Linked DNA regions of Coturnix japonica. The protein of the gene in region 2 interacts with the protein of the main gene of each other region in a pairwise test. Links are inferred from orthologs where the notes say so. Each region holds a gene or a part of one and is shown on either strand. Other genes may lie near its edges.

What was found. The genes of interacting proteins can lie anywhere in the genome.
Region 1: the proteins of HMBOX1 (region 2) and WT1 interact in binary tests that used the Homo sapiens proteins (3 or more experiments, as listed by UniProt). The link is inferred for Coturnix japonica from reciprocal best matches to the Homo sapiens genes HMBOX1 and WT1.

What each region holds. Positions count from the first base shown.
Region 1 is NC_029520.1:4,411,105-4,415,090, forward strand, and holds the start of WT1 (Wilms tumor protein), read left to right. Parts: upstream 1-1,186; 5' UTR 1,187-1,212; coding exon of another isoform or gene 1,213-1,266; 5' UTR 1,267-1,596; coding exon 1,597-1,987; intron 1,988-3,986. Other genes in the region: uncharacterized protein LOC107314335, read right to left, coding at 32-373, 530-774, 900-1,134, 1,213-1,266. UniProt on the Homo sapiens protein: Transcription factor that plays an important role in cellular development and cell survival. Recognizes and binds to the DNA sequence 5'-GCG(T/G)GGGCG-3'. Regulates the expression of numerous target genes, including EPO.
Region 2 is NC_029518.1:96,819,239-96,823,364, reverse strand, and holds the start of HMBOX1 (homeobox-containing protein 1), read right to left. Parts: upstream 2,801-4,126; 5' UTR 2,499-2,800; intron 2,372-2,498; exon of another isoform or gene 2,352-2,371; intron 2,332-2,351; exon of another isoform or gene 2,164-2,331; intron 810-2,163; exon of another isoform or gene 178-809; intron 1-177. Other genes in the region: INTS9 (integrator complex subunit 9), read left to right, coding at 3,110-3,118. UniProt on the Homo sapiens protein: Binds directly to 5'-TTAGGG-3' repeats in telomeric DNA. Associates with the telomerase complex at sites of active telomere processing and positively regulates telomere elongation.

The sequences.
Region 1 (3,986 bases), on a different chromosome or scaffold from region 2:
GGCCGTTTCGATTTATTTTGTTGCAGCAATTTTAAAACATCGTTTGGAGGTCGGCGATGGAAGCAGCGCTAACCTTTAATGCCGCGGGGAACGTGAACGCCGCAGCGCGAGTTGCCACCGGAGGACATCGGGGCCCACCCTTCCAGCGGCAGGTAACCGCTTTTATCACTACAGCTTCGGGGGAGCGACTTCTGACCGGGGCGCGGGGGTGCGAGTGTTGCCGGCCGAGCTCGGGGCGCAACGGGAGCGCACCCACAAGCGGCCCGGCGGAGCTGTCATACGCGTGCCCCAGGGGCTCAGCCTTCCCCCCGCCGGGTCGATAGCGATGAGTACTTCGGGAGGAGGGGGGCAGGATCCCGCTCTTGGTACGCGTCTACGGGGGGAGGCGGCGGGCTCGTATCTGCGCCGGATGCCGTGGTGCGCCTGGCCGCGGCAGGCACGGCCGAGTCCCGGGGGCCTCGCCGTCCGCCCTGCCGGTAGGGGCGGGGAAAAGGTCGCGGCCCCCTGGCTGCCGGGGCTAGCCCCCAACCCGCCGAGCTGACCGGGAGGGCTGTCCGAGATAACGCGTGAAGTGCCGCCGGGTTCGTGCTGCGGAGCCGCCGTCCGGGCTGGGTAGGGAAGGGAGAGTGCGGGTCCTCCCCGGAGCTGCGCCGGGTGAGTCCCCGATGCGGGCGCTCGTTGTGCTGCGGTCCTTCCGCGGCAGCCCAGCCACCTCCTCCCCTCTAGGCACGGGCGGCTCGGGGGACGCGGACGTCTCCCGCACGGGGAGAGCACCTGGAAGGACACATTTTTCCCTCGCCGGGTCGGCTCGCCTGCAGGGGTGGCGGCTTCTCCGCTCGGTGCCCGGGGTCCCGCGGGACGTGCGCGGGGCTGCGGGAAGCGGTGCGGCACGTACTTACGGGGCCGCCCGCATCCCTCTGGCGGTCTCGCCAGGTCTCTCAAAAGCGAAGGGATGTTAGGGTGAGATTTAGTGGCGCTTGCACCGGAGGAAGGGTGGGAGGGATGCGTAAGGGAGATATATTCTCCCACAGTAACCTCTCCCCCTCCGTCCTCGCGTCCCCACCCCCCGACCCCCCGCGCTCCCCACCCCCGGCTGGCCCGGGTCGGTTCAGCAGAGCGGGCTGTGGGCAGCCCCTTGACGAAGGTTGTGTGAATGGAGGATCTTCGCGGCTGACTCCTCCTCCCCTGCGAGCGCCTCTATTTGAGCTTTGCAAAGTTGAGGGCGAGCAGGCAGCCGAGGTGCGGCGTGCGAGGCGGCTGTGCCATCCCCCCCCCCACGGCACGCGCGGACAGACACACAGACACGGCCGCGGCCGCACGGACACGCGCGCACCCCGCCCTGCGCTACGAGCGGGCGCGGCCCCGGAGGCGATCCTGGAGAACAACCTTTCCCTGTCGCTGCTGCCCGCTCCCGCAGGGCTGGACCCGGGGAGCTGCGTCGCGGAGCAAACCTCCCCCAAGGGGCTGAGCTCTCCGGCCTGGTGCCTGCAGCCGGAGCCGGCCTCCGGCCTGGCGGGCAGAGGCCAGGTGTCCTGGAATAAGTGCGGCCCGGGGGGAGACTGGCTGCCCGGCGGCAGGCAGAAGGTCTGCGAGCAGATGGGGTCCGACGTCCGGGACCTGAACGCGCTGCTGCCCTCCGTGCCCTCCCTACCGGGCAACAGCAACTGCGCCATGCCGGTGAGCAGCGCGGCGCAGTGGGCTCCCGTCCTGGACTTCCCCCCGGGGGCCTCCTACGGCTCGCTGGGGCCGCACTCCTTCATCAAGCAGGAACCCAGCTGGAACGGGTCGGACCCGCACGAGGAGCAGTACCTGAGCGCTTTCACCGTCCACTTCTCCGGGCAGTTCACGGGCACGGCCGGGGCCTGCCGCTACGGGCCCTTCGGCGCCCCGCCGCCCAGCCAGCCGCCCTCCGGCCAGGCCAGGATGTTCCCCAACGGGCCCTACCTGCCTAACTGCCTGGAGAGCCAGCAAGCCATTCGCAACCAGGGTAAGGGCGGCGCCGAGCACCCGGCCTCGGGCTCAGCCCCGCGGGCACAGCCGTGGGCTCTCCGACCCGCGTTTGCCGAACGTACGGAGCCCCTGCCGCGCCCCTCCGGGCAGCTCCGGGAGCCGCTCTCGGCTCTCCCAAGGGCGCAGCGGGCTACCCCGGCCTCGGCCCTGGCTACGGCAGCCTCCTCTCTTCTCGGGACTGTATTCGGGCTGAGGACGGTCCCGACGTGGAGATGGGGTGGCTGCCCTCAGACCATTCCCTCTGCAAGCCGTGCAGTGTAGGGGCGGGGGTAGAGTTGTTTACCTCCTCCTGAATATGCGGGCTGCTGTCCGCCCGGTGCTGTTCTCCGGGCGTTTGTCGGACCTACCTCGGGAGCGCTGGCTCCTCGGGCCGGGCCGCACGCACCGGGCGGCTTCTGGTTCCCTCTCGGCGGCTCCGCGGCAGGGACACGGCGGGCTGCAAGCGTCGTGGCCCCGCTGTTCGCGCTGCCCCCAGAAATTGGCGTGGGTGCGCGGTTAACGATCGGTCAGCCCCCGCCTACGGAACGGGGTTATCGCTTAATGGTTTTTCTTCCAGCGGCGGCAATGTAAACATCTGCTGGAGCTAACGCGAACAAGAAGGGAGAGAGAGCGGAGCTCTCGCTGGGGATCCCCGGGCTGCGCCTCCCGCCGCGTTCCGTCCCCGCTCTGCCCGGCCCGGGGGAAGGTGCCCACGCACGGCGAGGCGGCTGGAGGAGCGGGCCCGGAGCAGCGCTGTCGCAGCCGACCGGAGGGTCTCGGGGCAGGCTCTGCGCTGCCGGCGGGTGTTCCGCTCTTCCGCGGCCCAGCAGCCAGCCTCGGGCCGTAGATTGGGTGCTGCGGGTGGCCGGCCTCCAGCTCCCGGCTGTTGCGGGGTGCCTTTGCTCCCAGGCGGGCCGGGGTAAAGGAGAGGGGGCCCGGACCAGGCGTTTGCCGGTCTGCCGATATCGAAAAACTGGGAGCGGAGCGCAGGGCCCAGCTCGGTTGGGGAAGTTACGCGGCATCCCCAGAGGCGGCCGTCGCAGCACGGGGCCGCTGGTGTTGTTCGGACACCTGAAAGCATTTCAGATATCTGAGACGGTTTTAATGGCCGAGCAGAAGTAGTGACGAGAAGGACAAGGTGGTTAAGTGGGTGCCCTCTGATTTCTAAGCCCCCAAAGCGAAAGGGAGCCTTTAACGCTCAGAAACACAGCACCCGTCTTGGCTGCGGCCTTAAGCCGGGCAGGGTTCCGTGCGGGCGGCTCCGCAGCTCGCGGGCACACCGCTGTACCCCGAGACGGCGGCAGCTCCCGCACTTGGCAGCGAGTCGTGCAGGTGTGTGCGTGGCCGTGCCCTGCTGCGGGGGGCAGAGCTCGGGCAGCACGGCTGCGGCGCAGCCCCTCCCTCCCTCCCGCTCCGGCCCGTCCGGGTAGCGTTCCTTCCTTCGCCGAGGAGGAATTCGGCAAAGGGTGCTCGCTTTTCTATTGATTGATTTATTTATTCTCGGCAGCGGATAAAAAGTTCTTGTTTTCGCTCTCCTCAAGGTTGAACTCCCGGGCTTATAGCCTGTTCTTCCGACCGTGGGAAAGACGTTACCTTGGCTCTGCGATGACACTTCAGCCAAGTCTAGGCTGGGGCGTGGGGGTAGGGAGCGAGGCTTTGGAAGCTCTGCCCAGCTTTCCCCTTCTGGTCCGCCCGTCTCCTTCATCCAAGCTGGGCTCCTCCACAACTGGAGTCCTCCCGCGGGCCCCGTGCTGCAGCAGCTGTATAGCTTTCAATTATTTTCAGCACATTTTAATCAGGCCCGACTCTGATAAAGCCCTAATTAAAGAGACCTCGCTATCGGCAGCTCGGTTCAGAACTCGGCTTTCTTATCACATTCCTGAAGCTTTGGGTCAGGCAACACCGGAAAATGCGGCCAAAACATCGTTCTGCACCGAGCTGCGTTGTGAAGGTCGCCAAAAATCTGCGCCGGGCCAAATGTACCGTAGAAAGTGTCA
Region 2 (4,126 bases):
TTGTGCAGCAGACACTGCTCCTAGTTCTGTTGAATTACCGTATCGCAGCACTGGAGGGATGCGTGTTTTCTAGAAAGGTCAATAAAATAGAAAAGAATTGCTCAAGACCGCTTAATAAAGTAGTTCTAGAGATAAGCAGGCCTCATCCACGCAGTATTTCCTTGAAGGTTTCCTTACCATTCTTTAAATAACCTGCCGTTTCACCTCTGGTAGCATTCCTGTAACACAGCTGGCAGTCTGCATAGCACAATGTCGTCTAGACCTGCTCTGAACAGAGTTGGATGACACAGGAGTAAAAATGCTGATGGCTGTTCGGGTGCCTGCGCTGTGCTGAAGGAACGATAGGAGGAAGAACGAGGCAGAGCTGAACGAGACACAAGTTCCTTGTTCCTCCTCCGTTCCTCCCTTGTTCCTCATCTCACGCCCAGGCTCGTCAGACAATCCCATCAACCATACAGAAAAGTTGTGGCGGTCATGGGGCTAAGGAATAATCTTCACATAGGTGGGAAAAAACAATCCCAAACCCCCGTTAGCTGATATAGCATCAAGCACCACTCAGAGGTCTCAGAATAGGCAGCTAACAAACACATCCCTGCACTGCTATCTCCCATCTCTCCTCCCCCACCTGTGCCTCAGAAATGTTTTCTTAACGATTCGGAAGAGAAATGGCAAAAAGGTTGATGCGAAACACAGAAAGAAATGAAGTTCGTTCCCTGTTCTCAAACGATTTGGCCGTAGCATGACAAGAGGAAAAAAACATATTGAGAGCGATAAATCCATATATACCTACTCCAAACTACACCCAGCATCCCGAGGGACCCGATGTAATGGTAAATAAATATAGATGCAGTTCCTACTAATGAGGTAGGGTACAGCAAGGCCAAAGCAAATGCAATCAGCTCGGGGAAAAGAACTGCACAGGACTCCTCCTCTCCCATCCAGGGAAGAAATCAAATAGCAGCCACACCATCCCAGGAAGAAAGCAATGTACCTGATGAACCCTGCAGCAATGAGCTGGGATGCAAGCAGGCACTACAGCACCAAGCCTTTCCCCACCAGTTTCCCCTTCCCTGTATTTACGTGCTGTCTTACAGGCAAATTGTAGTTTTCCCCCCCAGTTTCCTTCCCCTCCATCCCTATATAGTTGGATCAGGGGCATCCAGCAGATCCGCTCCCACACCGCCAAGCCCTGGCTGTCACGTTAACACTTTCCTCCCTACAAAGTTTCAACCTTCCCAGCTCCAGCTCACGTGCTGTGCTGTACTTAAAGCCACTTATCTCTAGTCCCAATGAGAACAAATTAAGCTACACCCCACTCCGCTGTCTGCTTACAGCCTTGATTTTCCTCTTCCTTCTTCCCTCCCCACCCCCCCCAAAGAAGCATTTTGACCCCTGCACATCACCGAACACCCACAGCTTTTTTCAGACCCACCGAAAAGGGTAAAATAAAAACCACAACAAAAAACACGACATTCCAAAGAAGTACTTCGCAAAACAACTGAAAAACCCACCAGAGGTGGAAGAACTCAGCCCAACCTGCTTCATATGTGCGATCTGAGCTGATAAACAGCACCGAACTCGGGTAGGGTCAGCCCAGAAGCGGGGCAGGGTGGGTGGGCAGCATCCCCTGCCATGCCGGGCTCTCAAGGGGGCATGAGGGTCCCCCGAACGAACCCGGGCACAGACAGAGAAGCGTCGCAGCTTCTCTCCCCGTGAAGTAGGGAATAAACAAGCGGCTGACACCCCGCCCAAACCCTCCTCACACGTTTTAGGACCGATTTGTCGCCGGCTCCTTCACCCCATCCCGCACAAACGAATCCCTTCGGTTCGACGCCTTCGCCCTCCCGCAAAGCCCCGGCAGCGGCACAGCTCGGGGGGGGGAGGCGGAATGCCCTTTTCCCCCCCACATAACCGTAGGAAAACAGTTGGGTTCACCCCGGAATGAGTGATCGCTCCCTCAAGGGTCGGATCCCGGAAAGGAATGAGGAGAAAAGAGGGGGATAAAGGGCTGAGAGATATGGGGGGGGTATGGGGAGGGAAGGGGGAAAGAGGGATGAGGGAGGGGGGCCCCCCCCAGCTCCGCTCGGGGTTCGCGGTCCCAGCACCGAAACAAGCGGAAAAATAAAGAAGAATAAAGAAATAAACGAAAGAACCAGCACCCACCCAACCTGAGGGGACTCCGCCGCCGCGACTTCGTCCTCCCCACACCCGGGAGTGGATGGGGGGGTGAAGAGGGGGGATGAAGGGGTGAAAACACAAAACAGAATAAAAAGCCGAAGCAGCAGCAGCAGCAGCAGCAGAGCGATCTCCCTGTTATCCGGGGGCACCCTTCCGTCCCCCTCCTCACGCACCCTCGGATCTCCTCACGCCTCGAATCCCTCCCAGGCTCAGACACAGCCGGGGGGGCCCTTCCCCCTCCCACCCACCCTCCCTCCCACCCTCCCTCCTGGCAGCCCACCCACCCGCCCGCCCCCGTTCCCCCCCTCACCCCCACTCACTCACTCCCGGTGCCGGCGGTTCCTCCGCTTCACCATTGAACGGGCCGCCCCCGCCGGGGACCCCCCCCCTGCAATGAGGGGAGATGAACGTGGACAACAATAGCGCTGTGCTGCCGGAGCCCCCCGAGGATAACAGCCCCCCCCTCCCCTCTCTGCCCCCTCGGCTCCTTTTCTCTCTGTTGGGCTTTATTTTTTTGTGGTGGTGGTTTTTATTTCTCCCCCCCCCCCCTCCCGGCTCGCTCACACCAGACCGACTGTCTTTGTCTGTCTGACAAGCGCCATGTTGATATCAACATCCGAGCTCCCACCTGCTGCAGCTGTGAGACCCTGGGACTTGTAGTTCCCCCCTCCCCAGGGTGACGGGGAGCGCCGCGGCTCACGGACTACAATTCCCAGCGTGCCGTGCGGCGCGGCGCCACCACGGGAGCGCGGGGCGAAGCGGAGCGCGGACTACGGCTCCCAGCATGCAACGGGACGGCAAGGTGATATGGAGGGGGGCGGCATGACGTCATCACGGGGGGACTACAAATCCCGTGATGCTTTGCGGCGGGAAGGGGGAGCGAGCCGGAAGTGGGGGGGCAGGATTGTGCCTGTAAATAGAGCCGGGCAGCATGAAGCTGGTGAGTGGGGGCTATGGGGCCATTGGGGGCCGTGGGGGGTCTATAGGGCCATGGGGGGCTGTTGGAGGCTATTGGGGTCTATTGGGGGCTATTGGGGTCTTTGGGGGCTATTGGGGTCTATGGGGGCTATTGGGGTGTATGGGGGGCTGTGGGGGGCCATGGGAGGCTATTGGGGGCTATGGGAGGCTATTGGGGTGTGTGGAGGGCTGCTGGAGGCTATTGGGGCCTATTGGAGGCTATTGGGGCCTATTGGGGGCTATTGGAGGCTATTGGGGGCTATTGGGGGCTATTGGGGGCATGGGAGGCTATGGAGGGCTATTGGGGCTATGGGAGGCTATTGGGATGTATTTGGGGGCCATGGAGGCTACTGGGGGCCATGGGAGGCTACTGGGGGGCCATGGGAGGCTACTGGGGGCTATGGGGGCTGCTGGTGGCTATGGGAGGCTGTTGGGGGCTATGGGAGGCTATTGGGATGTATGGGGGGGCTACTAGGGGCTATGGGGGGAGCTGGGTGGTGTTCTCTGCGCTGGGATCACCCTCGGGGGTTGGGTGAGGGGCAGGCAGTGGGTTTGGGCCCATAGCACATGGGGCTGTCCCATAGGAGCATCCCCAATGGTTCGGTGTGGAAATAGCTGCTGCTTTAGTGTTAATACACGTAGCTGAGGACACAGCACTGTGTTATTCACTAGGAGAGTGGTTAGGCCCTGGAAACAGGCTGCCCAGGGAGGTTGTGGATGCCCCGTCCTTGGAGGTGTTTCAAGGCCAGGTTGGATGGGGCCATGGGCAACCTGATCTATGGGGTCTCTATGGGGTCTATGGGGTCCTATGGGTCCTATGGGGTCTCTTGGCAACCTGATACTAGTAAATGTGTAGTGTTTGGTGGCCCTGCTAGGCAGGGGGGTGAACTACATGATCCTTGAGGTCCCTTCCAACCCGGGTCAGTCTGTGATTATTACACGCCTGGTGCCTTCAACTCGATGTAAGGCATAAACACTGAGTCAGGGGTTG